4 linked regions of the Nothobranchius furzeri genome follow. The protein of the gene in region 3 purifies or fractionates together with the protein of the main gene of each other region. This does not show direct contact. Links are inferred from orthologs where the notes say so. Each region holds a gene or a part of one and is shown on either strand. Other genes may lie near its edges.

Region 1 (4,878 bases), on a different chromosome or scaffold from region 3:
AGGAACGTCAGACTGAGAGGAGATCCAAAAGAAGACCCAGGACACGCTGAGGGGACTGTCTCTTGGCTGGCCAGGGAACGCCTTGGGCTTCACTCGGAGGAGCTGGCCCAACCGGCTGGGAAGAGGGAAGTCTGGGCCTCTTGGCTACGGCTGCTGCCCCCGAGACCCGACCCTGAATAAGCAGCTGAAAACGGATGGTTGGATGGACTCCATATTTTATTTCAATCCTTCTTTTGAATTATTGCCGTACTGTTTTTATGTTCAGCACTTTAGTCAGCTGTTGCGTAGTTTTTAAATGTGCTATTTAAAAAAAAAAACGTGGTATGGTCTTTCAGATTATTAATTTCTTTTTAAAAGAGTACCTCATATCACTGAAGGGTCTGAAATCCAGCAAAGGTGGAAGGGTCAGCATGACAAAAGATGGTTTAATCTAATTAGACCCATAAACCAGAACCAATCAGACATTCTTTTATGTATGCTAATAATTCAGTATTCATGGAAGTCCCATGATTTTATTGGTTATTTAAAAAGGAGTCTGTTTCAGTGTATAAATGATCGCCCACACACTGGCTGGTGTAAAATCCCCTGCTTCTGGTAGTAAGTTGATGAAGAGCCCCACTCTGTGGTCATATCTCTTCACTGTTTTCATGGGACTTTGTTTTTTCTCCCAGGTGGGAGTTTTAAGACATCGGTCGACGGTTCTCAGTAAGGACAGTTTAGATAGGGGGAACAGGATTACAGGTACAGAAAACACACCGCAGGAAAATTCATGAACACTATAAATTCATGTCAGTGAATGTGAATGGTCAAAGCAGTCCTATAAAAAAGTAAGATGATAGCTTTTTTTTGTTCAATTTGTTTTTTCAACATTTAGCTCAGATTTTCTAACAAGAAGAGCTGAAAAGTATAACCACAAATGGCACAAAACCAGCCTATACGTACGCCAATGACATATTGGTAAAACTCCCAAATCCAGGCTCTAGCATACCTTTGTTCATGCCCTCAGAGAGGAAGGAGGTATCACACCCGTTTTATTTAATTTTATTCACACCCAAAATGTAATCATCCAGTATTTGTGAGTTCTCATACCAAAGTCCTCTCCCACCGTTTTGATAATAAGTAGCTACAAAAGAATCACAAAGGAAATCATCAGGACAATGTGGTACAGCCAGAGGTGGAAAGAGTACTAAAATTTCCTACACAAGTATGAGTACCAATACTTTGATTATTTTTACTCAAGTACAAGTAAAAGTATTTAAACATTAGACAATAATTTTATAAGCAATAAACAGTAAAAAGGAGAAAAAAGAAACACAAATGAAGGAAAAAAGTCTTAGCCCAAAGGGAGTGGGAAGAAGCGAGTGTTTACTCAGTCCCACCCCCTCGCCACACACTAAAACAAACCATGTACATATTTAATACACATTTCAGGATCGTTACATAAATGATCCGCACTTATATAGCGCCCCTCAGAGTAAGGACTCCAAAGCGCTTTACACTACAGTGAATCAATCATTCATCCATTCACACACACACACACACATTCATACACTGGTGGGGATGAGCTACGATGTAGCCACAGCTGCCCTGGGGCGCACTGACAGAGGCGACATACATATCATTACAATAATAAATATACAAATAAGAACATATATGAATGTTTTCTCTCACTGTGTGTGTGTGTGTGTGTGTGTGTGTGTGTGTGTGTGTGTGTGTGTGTGTGTGTGTGTGTGTGTGTGTGTGTGTGTTTCGTGCATGCAATTTCTTTCAGCTTTTTTGTACTGTTATATACCCTCCTCTATGATAATTCATTTGTTTGACAATAAAAGAGGCCTCGAATGTGTAATAGTGCAAAAAGCGGAGTCTGAAGTGCGCATGCTCAGTGGAGGCGGAAGTGCTCGGTACGGTGGTACCTCTCGTTCGGCTGTGTCCTGTTAGACACGGAGATGGACTTTTATCGTTAATTATCGTCTGAGCTACTAACTTCAGGCTGCACAGGGTGTCTGTGACGTTGGGGGCACGTTCAGAATGGTGAGTTGATGCGTCTCAATCGGTGGAAAGTGCCGGGTGCTAACTTGTGCTAATGCCGATAAGGTGTCAGCAATTCAGGAAGTGCCCACCTGCGCTCCGCTCACCTGGCGAACGGGCCTGGAGAGGGGAGACGACCCGGATCATGGTGCCGTTCTTACTGTGGGCTAAGTCGCTGTTGCTTGGTTGAGGTGTTTTAAGACCCGCTCCCTTCCTCAGCTTCAGTTCCAGGATTCGATTCAGCTCAATGCGTTTATTTAGTTACACGACACCAGCACACAAGATCCAACCCGTTCCCGTTCATGTTCGGGTCGATGGCACTTCCAGTCAGTGAGTTCCGTTCACTTCTCGCTAAAGCCGATTCATTCTAAAAGGCCGAATGTTCTCGGATGGAGTATTCATTCTTCACTTAAGCCGTTTGGGTTTTCAGACCCATCTTGCCAAAACTGACATAGAATAGAAAAATAAAAGGCGGGAATAAATTATAAATAAATGACAAAATGCAGAAAAAATAGCTATTTTAAATAGTTGGTAAGAAATATGTTTATTTCCACATTTATGTATCGGTCCTTGTCAGGTGACATATGGGGTGCTGTAGCGCGTTGCATGATGGAATAGCTAGGTGTCTGAACAAAGGAAGCTTTGTGAGCTAAACCCGGTACACCTGTTGTGTGAAAGGCGGCCATGCCACCTTCACAAGAAGGCAAAAAATAAAATGTAGGCTGGAGTCGTGTTAACTGGATATTTTCTGTATTTAACCGTTCAGTTTTTGACAGAAATCTCAAGGCTGTTGGTCATTCTGACAGACAGGAATTACTCTGACGCGTGCAGTTGTGCAGACATTTTAAACGTTCTGCACGGAGAACATCGCAGAGGTAACGAGATCCATCAGACGATTCCCATCAGAACATCTGAGCATTATTTGTCAGCTGCAGCTTACCCTAGCAATGCCAGTCATACACCTAAAATGGCGCTAAAGAGGTGTGGTTGACATGCAGGTCACGTGTCTGACAAGGACCGATTAATGCATTCAGTTATAAATACTGTCCTAAAGCATGATTGGTCAACCAATCATCTTCCAAGAAATTCACACAACCCTCCATTCTCTGCCCTCTGAACGATGTGTTGTTAGTGCTCTTTAATGCGGACTTATTAGGGATGCATGTTTACCAACATTTCTTTAAAAGGCTATTGATGCCCCTTAATGGTTAATAGCCGGTTAACTAGAAACCAACCAATGGTGGTGCTGATTACTGGTGGAACACCGGTGTTTCGACTCTCTGTGCTGCTCGTCGAAATGTGCTACTTTGGGGAAATACGCATGAGCAGATGGATTACTTCATCACAGGTTTACCTGAAACGCGCTACTATGACTGGGCGATATGGCCTAAAATCAACATTGTTATGTGCCCGTCCCATTTATCGGTTCCTTTAAAACCCAGTTCCGTTAGAACTTATGAGACGGAGCATCCATCAGGGTTCGATGGGGATGTCGGTGAGTATTATGGTATTAGATCCTGGTTTGGGCGTCCTAAGTTAGAATCATATCTTTTATTTTAAAGGTGAAATAATATGTAAGACCTTTCCTTCTGTAGTAGCTCACTTCTTTTTAAGCAATCCCGTTATCTTAAGGTTTCTTTATATCAATCTGTCACAAACCGTAAAGTAAGTCCTGATAATTCCAGAACCCATAATTAATGTGCTTACCTCTGTGCAATTAATGATCAGGGCTTCCACTCATGAAGCTTTAGAGAAAACCTGAAAGAATCAGGATTATGTTTCTTTTTCAAAAAAGGTTTATTACAAAATCAAAATACAAAAATGGGTAAATAAAAAACAACTGCTATCCCCCAAGGAGGAATTAGTTCAAAATGATTAAAAAAGAGTTAGTTTACACTAGCTCCTGTCTTCTCAGAATGAAAACTCCCAAGTTACCTCTTCCAAAAAAGTCTGTCATCCCCCATCCAGGTTTGGACGGGGGATGACCCCTCCAAATCTGCTCTGTCTCTTCTTGTCCTCTGCCCCAGCTGCTGTCCGCTCTCAATCTATATATCTCTGCTGTTCAGAGCTGTTCTTATATACCCTTCCTGGGCCAGCTTTAGGTCATGGGGTCATTTACCAGATACACACTTTGTAGCTCAACACAAAACATTTGGTGTCATTACATGCAGCATTCTTCTTAACACAGGTCATTACATCATCTTTTGCAGCATTCTTCAGTTTCTCTCCAATGTTCCCGAGAGGGCTTCTGGATCTGATGGGCTTGTCTTCACTCTGTTCTCCTCCAATCCCATCTTTCCAAGCCAGGGGTGGGGCAAAGAGGTTGGGTCAGTCAACCTGACCTTTCGCCCAGTTCTGTCCTCGTCCCTGTGACCCTTGTGTGACCCTTGTTTCTGACCACAGTTTTTTGACCTGCAGCCCAACTCATGTCGGCTGGCTGATTTTGCTCGCACAAGCCAGTCCAGTGTGTTTCAGCTTGCCACTGTCTTTGGCATGTGGGGACTCGCAACATCCCCCATGCGAGAAAAATCTAGCCAGGGGACTGCAGCAGCCTTCTTTGAGGTGGGGCTGCCTCCTCCTCTGGATCATCTTCATCTCCAGTCTCAGAGCCAGAGTCTGACTAGCTCAGAGTCCAGATACACACCATCATCATCATCATCATCACTCACTTCAGTCTCAGAAGAACCAGAGGGTTCAGATCTGGGTTCCTGCTTCACCACCAGTTTCAGCTGCCATCTGGTCAGCTGAGCTGCTGGTTGGAACATCTCAGTCTCCACCTTCAAGCAGAGACTCTCTCCCTCCAGACTGAAGACATTTTTTACTGCAGAGCTTCAAATATTCTCCTCACAC
Region 2 (4,528 bases), on a different chromosome or scaffold from region 3:
AAGCAGAATAACCTAAACTAGGTTACTGCATTAGAAAGATTTTACGCTGCTTTTTGAGTGAACGTGTGTATTGAGGTCCAGCGGCTTATTCTGTGTCTGCTGAAGCTCAGAGACGGGTTTTAACTAACTAGCTTTAGCCAAACTCTTCACGGGTGAAAGAAATATTTCACACCTTGTTTCGCAAAATCACCATATTTAAGGGAAGTTTTACCACAGAGGCCTTTTCCATTAAAAACTGCACCCAAGTGCACCTTTGCTGTAACTGCTTCTGAAACATCCCCCTAAAGCTGCAGAAGTTGTGAATTTGGGTTTGGATGATCGAGAAGACGGTGATGATTTTTTTTAATGACCCCACCTGCATGTTTCTGTCCGACCCTAACCCACACACACTGTGTGTTTGACTGGCTGACTGATGCTCGATTACAAACTGCCTCCGTCATCCCTCAAATCAGTGTTTTTTTCACCTTTTACTCATGCTGCTATTTATCGATTCATGCACCCCTCTCTCCATGCATCCATCTGCTCATCCGTTGATTTATGTCAGCCCCTGTCTGATCAGCGTTGTGTTGCTTGTATTGTCTCTTTGTTTTTAAATCTCTGTTTGAAGAAAAGTTTAATAAAGTGTTAAATCAAGGGCACCATCTCTGGCATCTCTAGTTTATTTACCAGACGTTGAGCATGCACCGCACATATTTTTCTAAAGCATGTTTTAGACAGATTATAAGATGCTTTTGAGCAGCTTTTATGATTCTGCAGCTCATTTTATGTCTGCATGGTGTTTAAAAGGGAGCTAAAGCAATCCATTATCTTGTTTTTAAGGGCTAACCCCCAAATAAAGTCATCACCAAACAGATCTGGTGTACAAACCGCTCTCCTTTTGTTCTGAACAGAAGTTACTGATAGAAATGACCTGCATGAGCACTCGGGTTCATTTTACGTCTCAGACGTCTCATCATGCATGCTTTGCACGTCGTCCACCCAAAACGTCTAGCTAGCTGTCAACATGGTCATGGCTTTCCTTTGCATGGCTTTACACACATTCAGTGAGTTTTGTAGCTTCTGTTTGTCCATGGGGAGAGCCTGCTGGTACTGTGCATGTTAACAGGATTACCCAGCTGAAGCCATGGGTTGCTGCCATCGTTCTGTGGCTTTGGATCCTTTAAACTGGTCCGACACCGATCACATGACTCACTGGAAATCCCAGCTTGACTGGGTGTCTCCATTTCAGTTCCTGCTTTTATTTTGATCACATGCTTTCTGTGAAACTGACAAAGTCGTTCACCTGAGGGACAAAAAATTGCCACTCTTGACATGAAAGTTTGTATTCAGTTCTTCAGCTGCAGCTGGTTGTGAGAGAATAAAATGAATAACTAAATGTGAACAACCAAGAGCCCAAACGTTGAGTTTGAAATCAGTGTGGGATGATTCAGAGGAAACAGCATCCAACGTGTGCTCTGTGTTTTATTTTTTTTCTGTTTCATGGAGCAGTATCCAACCGAGGAAGACATGATAGAGTGGGCAAAGCGCGAGAGCGAGCGAGAGGAAAAGGAGCGACTTGCAAGGCTCACCCAGCAGGAGCAAGAGGACCTGGAGCTCGCCATCGCTCTCAGCAAGTCAGAACTCTCCTGAGGAGGCTCTCCTCCTCGGCTCGGGGGGGTCTGGCACGGCACAGCCCGGCCCAACCCAGAGAGCACCAAAGCAAGGTGGAGACTGCACAGGACTGATGCAGCAGCACTAGCTGCTCCCCCTCCGCCTCCCCCTGACTGCTCACTGTTCACTGGCATTACGGAGCGCTGTTTTTCCATCCTGTTGGCCTCTGCAGGTTTGGCTGAAGGACAACATCCCAGTATGGAGGAGTAGATTGTTCCAGTCAGAGAAAATGAATCCTAAGGTTTTTAAAACATGACTGCAAATGTTACGTTCAGAATGTGATTTACTAAAACATGCAAGCGAGACAGAATTTCCCTAGAAAGAAAACTCACTACATTTTATTATTCACACCTCAGCTCTGAGGATTTAACCAGATTTTAGCTGGCATGCTGAGTTTATCGAACCCAGATGTGCCCAAACTTTCCTTCTGCTCATCTGTAACCATAGAAACAAGGGCACTTTCCTGCCTTCTGATGCTACATTTAAACATCATTATTAGAACGCACTTCATTTGAAATTCAGTGTTGCAGTGAAGAGCAGATGGGGATTTTCTTTCTCCCATCAGGGCAGCAAATCGGGATTTCTAAAACAAGTCCGACCATCACACTCCGCTTCTACGTTATTCAGTGTCTTTGAATTCTCAGTGCTAGCTTACCTCACCTAGCATTTGATCTACCATTGTTCAAGGTGTTGAAGAAATCTACACTCGTATTTTAAATGGCATTAAACACTTAAGATACACCACAACAGAAAAATCTAATTTGAAACAAAGTTTGGAGTTTTCTATTTGATTCCTCCAATGTTTTCAACATTTCAGTTAAATATCTGAAAAATTTTATAAATGCGGCAATTTAAAAAGTATAAATTCAAAATTTTCAGCCACGGTCTCTTGGGTTAGCCTCCCTAAAAGCAGATTTTTGCCTAAGATCCTTTCTATTTCTCTTATTTTAGCTCTAATATGAGAGATCATTCATTCTTATGTAACACTGCAATTGTCACTTTAGCACGTGACATTTGAAGCTGTGCCACAGTTGGTGCTTTTTATGTTGACGTTAGCTCTAGTGCTAACTTTATATGTCCTGAAGGATTTTTTTTTAAAACTAGACATTTCATATTTGGCAGAATTGATCAATTTCAGAGTCTTGTTGAAGTCCAGCGAACGATGTCTTGTGTTTTCTACCTGAGAGCAGAAAGCCCATCTTTCAAAGTGTCCCACTACCGTTTAAACATACACAGTAGCAGGTTAGATGGAGACGTTTCACTTCTCCCACGGGTGTTATTTAACTCTGATGCTAGGAGGTTTCTGATGAGGGAAAAGGCAGCTGAAGCCTTTGTTTTCATGTCACTTGTCTGACCAAACATAGCAGCATAAAGGATGGCACTTATGATTTTAGCTCATGTTTTTATCCACATGTCTTCCTTTCATGTTAAACCAACTTACTGTCTAGTTAATGCAGCACTTTCTACTAAATGCAGTGTCTTGTTGAAGTTTATTGTAAATTGGAGAGATTTGCATGTGTGTTCTCTGACTGGTGTTATGCCAGAGTTTTTCACTTTCAAATGCCACTATAACATTTGTACAGACAAACCCAGAACCACTTATGCTTGTGGGCTTACTCATTAAGTCTTCTTAAACTCAAGCTAAGTGTATTTTATTTTGTATTTTCTAACTTGTAAGTAAAATCATTATTGGGAGATTTTGCCAGACTATGTAATGCATTTAACGAAAACTAAATAAATACAGAAAAGAAATCATTGTTTGTTGTTTCTGTAGTGTTATTTTTATGCAGATGATGTATTAATATATTTATTTATCTTAAGTATACAATTTAATTCACATTGTGGACATTTGCAATGTTTGCTAATATCCTGGAAAGCATAGCAGCCACCTTTTAGCAGTATTTATACTAAATAAAAACAATCACATGAATATTTCAAGGCTTAAGTTTCTTGTTTGCATTTCTAATATTTTGACAATGTATACTTTACACAACAGAGTGAAGTAAAAAAGGCAGGTCAGATTTGGTTCACATGAAAAAAAAAAGTCCAAGATGATTCCAAGAAAAGTTCTGGATGTGAGTATTAATAAATACAATAAAGCTGGCATCCTTTCTCAATAATAAAAATAAATCTCCAGCTTCTTTAAGCTTTTCAAATTAGGTGTCCCTCAAGTAGATGAGGGTGGATAACTTTGTACTAATGTAAATGTGTGTGGATGTTGAAGATGAGGTGGTCTAGGGAGGTCAAGTAAAAGTTAATGAGAAGTGGTGGAAGTACGCAGCCTTGGGGCACTCCAAAACTGCTTTAAGAGGTGTTAACATAGGTGATTGTTATCAGACAGGTTTGATTTAGCCCAGGAGAGAGAGCTGTCCCATATATGAAGATTGTGAAACATGAAATGTGTCTAAAACTGCAGATTGATCCAGAACTATAGGAGAATGTGTTGAGCCTGTAGCAGGAAGCAGATTGTCGGTTATTCTAACAATGGCCGTTTTAGGACTGTTGTGAATCCAGACTGAGTTCATTAAGTTCATGATTCAAAAGGTGTTCTTTTTGTTTTTCTGTTGGTTCTTTGCTGTTTTCTGTAGATATCGGGGTAGAATGTTTTTATAAATAATTCAGTTGATACTTTGTAATGAACTATTTTTTAAATCAAAAACAATTCAGTGTGTTATTGAACAAATTTCTGCCTGACCACACAACATTCTCCTAATCCACCTCTGGATCATCCAGCTCATCTCTGGTCAGCCGTAGACGGGCCCGGACTTGTGCTCGTTAAACTGATAGGACCTGTTGAGTGCTGCAGGATTTTATTCCATGATGTAATCATATCCACGGTGTGATGCTAATTGTAACCTTTGTTACTGTAGTTCCAGCT
Region 3 (4,432 bases):
TTACAACACAATCAGTCATTCACCCATTCACACACACATTCACACACTGGTGGGGATGAGCTACAATGTAGCCACAGCTGCCCTGGGGCGCACTGACAGAGGCGAGGCTGCCGAGCACTGGCGCCACCGGTCCCTCCGACCACCACCAGCAGGCAACGTGGGTTAAGTGTCTTGCCCAAGGACACAACGACAGCGACAGACTGAGCGGGTCTCGAACCTGCAACCTTCCGATTGCGAGGCGAGCACTTAACATTTATGATCTTTCTCTCTAAAATTTCATGCTTAAATAATTTGGTTCTGTACCTTTCTCTTCAGCACAGCCGACAAAGGTTTATGATGGGTCAGTCCTCCTGCATGCTCAGATCATTCCCTTCCCTTGCTTGGAAAGTTGTTCCAAAACGAAAGTTGAACCCACATCTTTTTTATCTGTGAATTCAATGCCGTTCGGCGAGTCTCAAATAAAAATTTGGGCATCTTACGGAAAAAAATATACCATTAATGTAAAAAAGAAACTCCAAATAAATTATGTTCACATCCAGAATCGGACCCAGGTCTTCTGCATGGGAGTCAGACATCTTACAAGGTGAGCTACACTCTAGTAGCATTGACACTCTCTGTAACTTTTATATCCTTGACGACACCTGAAACAACGTCAAACCAAAGAACGGTTCGAAACGAAAATGGCTATTTTGTTGCTAATTTGCAGGAAATATCTAGAAGAAAGTTCTACAGAAAGTAGCTAAGCGTCCTCAGAAATGTAGCTAGCTTTGTCACTAGGCATTAGGAACAGCGACAAAGTGGCACTACCTCACTCTCTGCTGCTAAAGCTACTGATAGCAAATGCTACGGGCGATGCCTGAGCGTGAACGCGCATGAAGCAGCCTGCTCGACCCGAGCATCTCTCTTTTTCTGTGATCTTACAGAAAAACAGGCAATCACAGTAAAAATGCCAGGGCTCATTCTACAGGACCAGGGCATTGCAGTAGAATGCATGTAGAAGAAATGTATTATTTCTATACATGTTTGGGCTGTCAAACTTCCATAATATCCCTTTAATCCAACAGCTGAAACGTCTCCCAGCCCTCATTAGTGTCTACAGGAGTGATTCATCACTAAATTAAACAAATCAGCTGTGCTCATGATCTAAAACATGCAGGAAACGTGCTGGAAGCAGACTGTAGTGCCAGATATGTCAGCTCATTTTATTCCATTTCCAAGTCCACTAGACCGGACCGACACTCCAAAGTTGCAAATGAGGTATTCTGGCCAGAGGGCTGTGGGGGTCTGAGTGACACTTCATTAAAGGGTCATTTTAGCACATTTTAGCTCAAGAAAATTATTTAAAAATATGAACAAGTTGCAAAGTATCCCTTTAAATGAAAATAGCTGTAAGATAAAAGCTCTTCCTACCTGTTTCTGTTGAACTGGATGGCAAAATCAGTCATGACGCTCATCGCTTTGTTGATCAGGGTCATCTCCATTTGGATGATTCCGGCCCGGCGGGCAAAAGTGCCGGATATTTCCAGGCCCTTTCCCTTCATGGCTGGGAGCCAAACCTAAACAGAGAGGCTGGTTTTAAAAGCCACCCATGATGAACTCCTTTAGGGAATCATTCCAGCACATGGACTCACCGTTTTGGGGGGGTTGTAGGCTCCCATGGGCATCCCAACTCCACCTCCAAGATCAAACAGGTCATCCAGGCCGCCGCTAACAGGAGCGCTGAACGAGGCTGGCGATGCGGCTGGAGCAGCACCAAAACCAGCTCCCATCTGTGGGTCACAGAGAACACGTGAAATGGTGCATTGCATTAGCGATGAAGGCCTAAGAAAACTAGAAAACGACTTACAGCAGAGCTTCCTCCAAGGTCTCCGCCAAGCTGAACACGAGGAGAAAGGAAAAGAAAAACTCATTGTGAACAAAACATCATAAATGAATAAAAGTTGATGTTAAAACTACAGGATCTTCTGAGGGGGTGGAGGAGGATGAGAGGAGGGGTGGTCTGTAACAAATAACAGTAGGGAGATGTCTGCAGACAAACCCAAGTGATTGGTTTCATTCAAATGCAGCTCGATAACTTTGTCTTTAGCGTTTTAAAGACTAAAAACAAAGATCAAACCTAAAGAGAGACGGAACACTGGAACCCTAACTAGATGGAGCAGGAAAACAAGCAGAGCAACACAAAGCTACCGAGAGGACATGGGACAGCAGAGGGACAAGTGGTGTTGAGCTCTAGGCTGATGCTGGCCTTTACTGGTCCAGCGTGCTCCTCCAGGACCAACCTCAGTGGGGCTGTAATCTGGGGACGATGAGGACTGATGTGGAACCTGAGGTGACCGAGTGTCCGAGCGCAGGGGAATGGGCAGCTGATCAGAAGATGAACGATCCAAAGACAACAGAGATGGAGTGAGACTTAACATGATAAATGTCACGACAATATGAGATGATAGTGTATGGAAACTACGGGTAAGTGAATAAAGAGCCCACGCTGTGCTGATCGTATCACACGGGCTTGTGCGAGTGCAAGACTCTACGAGAATCTGTAGGAGTTGCGTTCTCCTGGTCTTTAGAACACGTTTTTATAGGCACCACTTAACAGACGCTTTGAGTTCGTCAACGTAACGACAAGTAAGGCTGAATGATTTTGTGAAAATTCATCAGATTGATTCACTTCCACGCAATAATCACAACGTACAGTAATATTTACAAACATGACAGGAAATGCCATCACACCATCACCACATGAAAAGTTATTACTCAAATAAGCACAAAAAGCGCTGCGCTAACACCATATTTACCTCAACTCCACAAAGATAGTTTCTTGGTAATTCCCTTTCCCCTGTTGCAGGAAGCGGGCAAATGAGACTCGGCCACTAAATGAGCAACGGCGACAGATAACCACAGCTATGACCAATATATACAGTAGAAGTGCCACAGAAAAAGAAAATTACCAATTAAAAATAAATAAAACTATATCCCGCTGCAAACTCAAGCATCAGGGTCCCGTAACCTCCACAGCCGCTCGCTGCTGTTGCTGTAGCTCTTCTAAAACCTTGAGATAACCCTAGATGTGTAAAATATTTATATAAAAGGTCAGGATCAGTCACGATCGCTGCAAAAAAATTTTTTATGAAATAAATACCTGTTTTGACGATTACAAGATCACATCGTTTAAAAAAATTAATGAATCGCAGTTTCTATTGAAAAACGAAGATTGTTCAGGCCCAATGACCAATAATCTGACTTTTTAAATTTGTGCCAGAAATAAAATTGTCATCGAGACATAAAACAACTCCCAAGAGAGTCAGGAGTTTTGACCCTTCACCAGACGGTGATCATTAGGAAAAAGCTGGAACATTTAATGACAATAACGAAAATGTATTTCAAAGATGTTAATTTATGCGAGTTCTATCAGTAGATAACCATAAAAGACCAAAAACAATGACAACTGTTATTTGTAACGGGTTACATATGAGGGCATAAACAAAACACCTCCATAGCACCCTTTACACATCACCTCCCCGCCTGATCGTATCTAGAAGACTTGGAACAGGAAAAGGAGGACTGAAATAGTGAGATGGTCCTAACAGACTCATCAGCTGCCGTTTTCATGGTGATTTCAGTGACGCGACGAGAGTAGAGTAGCGTCCCACCCTGTTAACATTCTCTGAGTGTACACAGCTTGTAGGCGGCTCTGACCCACTTTTAATTGTTACATCAACAACACTCTTTGGCTGGGTGGACTGACCAATTAGAGCAGACCGGGCTGTTAAAAAGAGCTTTTAAGAGACGAGGTGACAAGGGGGGGGGGGGGGGGAACGGCAAACGTGCTGCTTTTGCTTGATGCTATTCTAGTAGAATCCCAAAATAACTCCACTGTTACAAAAGCACTGTCTGGGCTCTTTTAGATGAATATTTAGAGGATGGGCTTAAATGACTGGTAAAGATCATCCCTCCTTGTAGTTACCGGCTCAGACTCCTCCCCCATCTGCAGGAGCAGCATATTAAACAAAGAAAGAACACGCAAGTTCAAGAAAAAATAAAGAATGTCAATTAAAAATAAATAACAGTTATTTGGTTAAAAAGCTGCTTTAGGTAGAAGAGTTAATCAAACTGATGTGTGTAGAAAACACACCAGGCTGTCCAGTCCTCCTCCGAGGAGGTCCATGGCTCCCAGCTGCATGCCAGAGGTGGGCGGCGGCGGTGGCCCAGTGGTGGCAGGAGGCGTCAGATCAAGATTGAGAAGGTCACCGAGGAGGTCTCCCTGGGATGGGATCACAGCAGGTGGAGCATCAGAGCCCCCAGCAGCAGAGCCAGTGTCTGGGCTCTCCAAACTCTCCCCTCTGGAAGAAATGAGGAAAAAAAAATGAAATTAATTCATAAAACACACACATTTACAAACTGCACAATCATTTTGATTTGATTAGCCATTTAC
Region 4 (5,120 bases), on a different chromosome or scaffold from region 3:
TATCATAAACTTTTATACTAGTAAAGTACCTGAACAACAATGACACAAAACACAATTTTGACAGACACCAATTTACTTAATCCATCCATTCATTCATTCACTGACTCAATCATACAGTTTCTGACGTGCCTATAAAGTTAAGTTACAATGAAAAAACATGAAAGTGCTGTAAATAACATCTAAATGTTTAAATCTCTTTATTATGAATCAAAGTAAGATGCATGTTTTGTTAACAGCTGTTCATGCATGTGTACAGTAGATGATTAATTACAGAAGCATGTCATCGATCAGGCACCCCGCCACTCCTTCAATGCACTAGATTTTATTTATGGCTATCAGGTTGTTAGAAATGCATGCCATACTTAAGATATTTAGATTTTCTTCAAATTTTGAAAACAATGCATCAGTTGTATTCCACATCACAGTTCCATGCTACTTTGTGTTGGTCTATTTAAGAAAATGTCAATAAAAACATTCACAAGGTTGTAAGGTGTGAAAATCTGTAAAAATCAAGGGTATGTTATTTTACAAAGCACTGAATATATATGATAATAATCATATTGATGATGAAAAATACATTTTATTTATTTCATCACTTCTTTATATTACGTTATTTATTTGGTTATTTATTTGATTTATCTTTCATGATACTGATGCTGTAATTTTGCACAACAGTAATTGTGACTTTTATTCTTTGAAATTTTTAGCATCGTATGATTGTGTTTTGTGGATAACTTTATGGTTAAATTGAGCTCCACGAAAAGTTCAATAGGATTTTTAAATTGTAATGACTCTAAATAACCTGCAACAGAACAAGCTAAAGATCATTCTTGCTCATTCAAAAGTCAGGACCTTACTGAGTAAATTCATTTATTTGACATCATCATATTAAAATATGTTTTTTCCATCAGATCACATAACCATTAACCTGGGCCAATGACCCTGTTTTTAACAGATTTGTGTGAAATGTATGTGTGTATATTTGTTGGTGGCTCCGCCCTTTCAGTCTGCTAGGCAACAGCATTTGTAGCATTTTTCAAACTGGAAGTGGGAGTGGAGTAATACTCTGGTAGGGGGTGACTTGCTCTTTAATATGTCTGTGTCCTTTGTGCTGTATAGTTCTGGAAACACAATTTTCATTTTTATTCATTGTTTTTAGTGGATGAAGTATTCAATAACAGCTTATTGCGTTTGTGTGTTTACCTGTAATCTTGTTATTATTTGTTTTCTTCCTTTTTCTCCAAGTGTGTGCGCTGCTGTAGCAAGTGAATTTCCCCACTGTGCGATCAATAAAGTATATTCTAATCAAAGTGTTTTTGGATTGTTGTTGTTGTACATTGAAGTTGCGAGACTTTCTTTATGAAAATTCTCTTCGAATAGTTCTTATTATATGCAAAATTATCTTTACTATTATTTGTTTAGAGCCGAAATAGAGACATATTTTAAGTGAAACATTTTAACACAAACATTAGAAAAACAACCATGACACGTTTTTGAAGACTTTTGTTGTTTTGTAATACCACAGCCAGCCACTTGAGGGCGACGAAAGTCCAGCAGAGGTCGGTTTTACAATTGAAGAATCTGAAAAGAAAACCAATGTGCGAGCGTGTGTGTGTGTGTGAGAGAGAGAGAGAGAGAGAGAGAGAGAGAGAGAGAGAGAGAGAGAGAGAGAGAGAGAGAGAGAGAGAGAGAGAGAGAGAGAGAGAGAGAGAGAGAGAGAGAGACTCTGCCCCTCACAACTGTTAATTTTACTTTACTCATTAATAGGAAATTACTGTGGGCGCATCTATGTAGCTGCTTAACTCTAAAAAAAGTCTTCGCTTCCTTGTGTGTTTGGTTGTTTCTTGTTGTTTTTAAAATAACACATTTAGGTTTCTGGTGGAAGTGAAATTCAGCACCTCTGATACAAAAATGTTTTCTGGATTGACGTACAACGTAAGGAATAACGGAACCTTTCAACCAATCACATTGCAGAATCTTTGCTGTGTTGACCAATCCCTGCGCTTGTTCTCACACCCAGCATTCGCTAGGCAGTTTAGCATCGAGCAGAAGGAGGAACTAATCATCTGACAGATAGAAGTGTCTTTTGGCTCTCTATGGTAATATTTTTAACTTTACTGTACTGAAGTTCAGTTCGTGTAAGTCACTGTTTTGCAGACCAAATTAAAAGTCATGAGTATTCAGTCTCGTTTGCTGTAGCTAAGCAGGCGTCGCAGGAGGGGGTGCAAATGTCACGAAACGTGGTTTAGATGTTAAAATAGGACAATTAAGCGACCTTAGCTAACGTGAGATAATCTAACGTTATGTTAAAGCCTCACGGGTGTGTTATGTACTGAGTCTAAAAGTCGTTTGATCGAATGGTACCTCCATGTATCCTAGTAAACAGTTCAGTCAAATCTAATTTCACTGACTTTTTGCCTCACGTTCATTGCTGCGTGATTAGTTCAGTTTCCCGCATCCATATACCCTCAAACATCCAGTCTTCCTTTGTTCTTCGTATTTATTTGTATCTACATGTCGACCATCATTATTCCTTCCTCAGATGCAGTTCATGCTGTTGTTCAGCCGGCAGGGGAAGCTGCGGTTACAGAAATGGTATGTTCCTCTGTCTGACAAGGAGAGGAAGAAGATCTCGAGAGACCTGGTCCAGACCATTCTGGCCAGGAAGCCCAAGATGTGCAGCTTCTTGGAATGGAGAGACCTCAAGATTGTGTACAAAAGGTAAGTTAAAAGTTTTAGAGGGCATTCAAGTACCCTCACACTTGATGATGCATGCACACACTTCTGTTTTTCCTCAAATTGACCATAATCTGCTTAAAATATTCACTTACAGGCTTTTTCACATCAATTTAGTGAGACCTGCAAAAACAAAAACGTTTCTCTATGATTTTCACTACAGCTAATTTATATAAACATTAATGTGAGAATAAAGTCTTTTCAACTGGATGCTTATTGTTACTTGTTGCCATGTTAAAATATTTATAGATTTATTTTAAAAACTGCATCTTCATCAGCAAATTCAGAAATAGTCTAGAAAAAGTTGGCTAAAGTAGCTCATACATACCGTGTTTATGTAAATGGCACATTTAAAAACATCGTGACAGCTGACCAAAGTACTTCACAAAGGAACAAGGATGCTCCGTAGTTACAGGACAGACAACAATGTCTGACATTACGGCATCACATCTAGTTGATAGAAACACAGCAAGGTATAATATCTAAAACAATGCACCACATGAACAAGGAGGTTAAAAGAGGAGGGGCTTTGAAAAGCAAAAACACAATAATGAAGACACGTGAGCAGCAAAACATAATCCAATAAAACACACATACACGGCAGATGGTAAAAGATGAAAAACCTAATTACTGACCAAAAGATAAATGATAAAAGTGGGCCTTAAGAACAGACTTAAAACGGGCTATTAATGGGGCCTGCCATACATGTAACGAGTGAATTTAGAGTTTAGGATTGGCAAATTAGACTTGCTCCTAGGGGTGGGCAATATAAACGATATCAGGTAGAAATGATAAAAAATTGGCTAATGATAGTGTTTTTGGCTATATCGCAATACCGCGATATTGCGGAGGAGGAGGCCTATATGCCTCAAGTGGCATATATTTGTCACATGAGGATATTTAAAAGCATGTCAATTTGACATGTATTAACAGAGGGGAAAAAAATATTGCAATATATATCGTTACCGCACATGCTTCAGATTATATCGCAATATAGATTTGAGGCCATATCGCCCAGCCCTACTTGCTCCTGAGACTTGTAGTGCAATTTAGGGACACACAGGAGCAGGTGATCTGCAGACCTCAAAGATGTGGAGGAGACATAGGACAGGATCAGCTCTAAAGGGGGAGCTGTACCATTACAGCCATCACACACAAAAGTTAAAACATGTAACTGAACTCGGAAACAGATTGGAAGCCAGTGCTATTCAGGATGGGAGTCATGTGGCCGCATCTGGACATGTTTGTAAGGAATCCAGCTGCTTGATTTGTGCCATAGAGGATCATGTGAGAAACCGTTTTAGGATTTCATTTTATTAACAATTACAAACATGCATGTAAGTTGTGAAAATACAAATGCTGTCCCACCCTTTTTGCTATTATTGATCTTTGCATGTCTGCTCTCTTCATACATAAATAGATATGCCAGTCTGTACTTCTGTTGCGCCGTTGAGGATCAAGATAACGAGTTGATCACCCTGGAAATCATCCATAGATACGTGGAGCTTCTGGACAAATATTTTGGCAGCGTGAGTTTTGCAAATATTACACATTTGTAGTGCTGAGAAGCTGCAAAGATGGAATCTTCCCTGACCTTCTGTAGTTTTTTTATATGGTGCTTTTGTCCTATAGGTGTGTGAGCTTGATATTATCTTCAACTTTGAGAAGGCCTATTTTATCCTGGATGAGTTCTTGCTGGGCGGAGAGGCCCAGGAAACATCCAAAAAGAATGTGCTGAAGGCCATCGAGCAAGCCGACTTATTGCAGGAGGTACGATCATTTCCTAAACACCACATCACCGTGTGCCTGAAAGCTGTCTTCTTTGCAAGTTAAAGCTTGTGTTGACTTTGTGGCTAACGCTGATATTTTTATGTATAAAATGTGTGACAGGTGTCCTGATACTTTCTCTTTACTCTTACAGGAAGCAGAGGCCCCACGTAGTGTCTTAGAAGAAATTGGGTTGACATAAATCCCCCTGCTTCTCACACTGATCTGATCACATCCATGCCTCCATTGTGTCTTCTCCTCATTTACCGTGTCAGTGTTGTGTTTGTATAACCACCATGAGTGTACTGTATTATGTACTATCCTGTAATGTCCTTTCAGTGTGGTGCCAACTGTGGTGTTATTGTGTCTCCTCACTACGAGCTCCGTCACCGTCATCTGCAGCATTTAGCATCACTTCTCGCTCTGCAGAGCAATGTAGCATGAACATGACAAACCCAGCATGATATTAAGATCATTCATCATCACCGATGGTGGAGTTTGATGTTTTAAGTCCTGCTGGCACCACTCGTCTTTTCCCATCACAGGGATTTATGTTAGCGATGGCAGAATCTGTGGACAGAGCATCTCACCTCAGCTGGTCATGGTGATTTTCACTA

Evidence for each region.
Region 1: the proteins of ap1b1 (region 3) and ap1s1 fractionate together in Homo sapiens (co-fractionation; 6 studies listed by BioGRID and IntAct, with this or other methods). This does not show direct contact. The link is inferred for Nothobranchius furzeri from reciprocal best matches to the Homo sapiens genes AP1B1 and AP1S1.
Region 2: the proteins of ap1b1 (region 3) and eps15 purify together in Homo sapiens (affinity purification with mass spectrometry; 3 studies listed by BioGRID and IntAct, with this or other methods). This does not show direct contact. The link is inferred for Nothobranchius furzeri from reciprocal best matches to the Homo sapiens genes AP1B1 and EPS15.
Region 4: the proteins of ap1b1 (region 3) and AP-1 complex subunit sigma-2 purify together in Homo sapiens (affinity purification with mass spectrometry; 5 studies listed by BioGRID and IntAct, counting the BioPlex papers as one, with this or other methods). This does not show direct contact. The link is inferred for Nothobranchius furzeri from reciprocal best matches to the Homo sapiens genes AP1B1 and AP1S2.

What each region holds. Positions count from the first base shown.
Region 1 is NC_091743.1:88,615,095-88,619,972, forward strand, and holds the start of ap1s1 (AP-1 complex subunit sigma-1A), read left to right. Parts: upstream 1-1,881; 5' UTR 1,882-2,028; coding exon 2,029-2,031; intron 2,032-4,878. UniProt on the Homo sapiens protein: Subunit of clathrin-associated adaptor protein complex 1 that plays a role in protein sorting in the late-Golgi/trans-Golgi network (TGN) and/or endosomes.
Region 2 is NC_091748.1:56,869,360-56,873,887, reverse strand, and holds the end of eps15 (epidermal growth factor receptor substrate 15), read left to right. Parts: exon of another isoform or gene 1-641; intron 642-1,488; coding exon 1,489-1,629; coding exon of another isoform or gene 1,630-1,724; 3' UTR 1,725-3,405; downstream 3,406-4,528. UniProt on the Homo sapiens protein: Involved in cell growth regulation. May be involved in the regulation of mitogenic signals and control of cell proliferation. Involved in the internalization of ligand-inducible receptors of the receptor tyrosine kinase (RTK) type, in particular EGFR.
Region 3 is NC_091757.1:46,121,385-46,125,816, reverse strand, and holds part of ap1b1 (AP-1 complex subunit beta-1), read right to left. Parts: intron 4,341-4,432; coding exon 4,133-4,340; intron 3,986-4,132; coding exon 3,965-3,985; intron 1,877-3,964; coding exon 1,847-1,876; intron 1,770-1,846; coding exon 1,632-1,769; intron 1,557-1,631; coding exon 1,411-1,556; intron 1-1,410. UniProt on the Homo sapiens protein: Subunit of clathrin-associated adaptor protein complex 1 that plays a role in protein sorting in the late-Golgi/trans-Golgi network (TGN) and/or endosomes.
Region 4 is NC_091749.1:41,411,454-41,416,573, forward strand, and holds the start of AP-1 complex subunit sigma-2, read left to right. Parts: upstream 1-1,989; 5' UTR 1,990-2,096; coding exon 2,097-2,099; intron 2,100-2,542; coding exon 2,543-2,721; intron 2,722-4,156; coding exon 4,157-4,265; intron 4,266-4,368; coding exon 4,369-4,506; intron 4,507-4,657; coding exon 4,658-4,705; 3' UTR 4,706-5,120. UniProt on the Homo sapiens protein: Subunit of clathrin-associated adaptor protein complex 1 that plays a role in protein sorting in the late-Golgi/trans-Golgi network (TGN) and/or endosomes.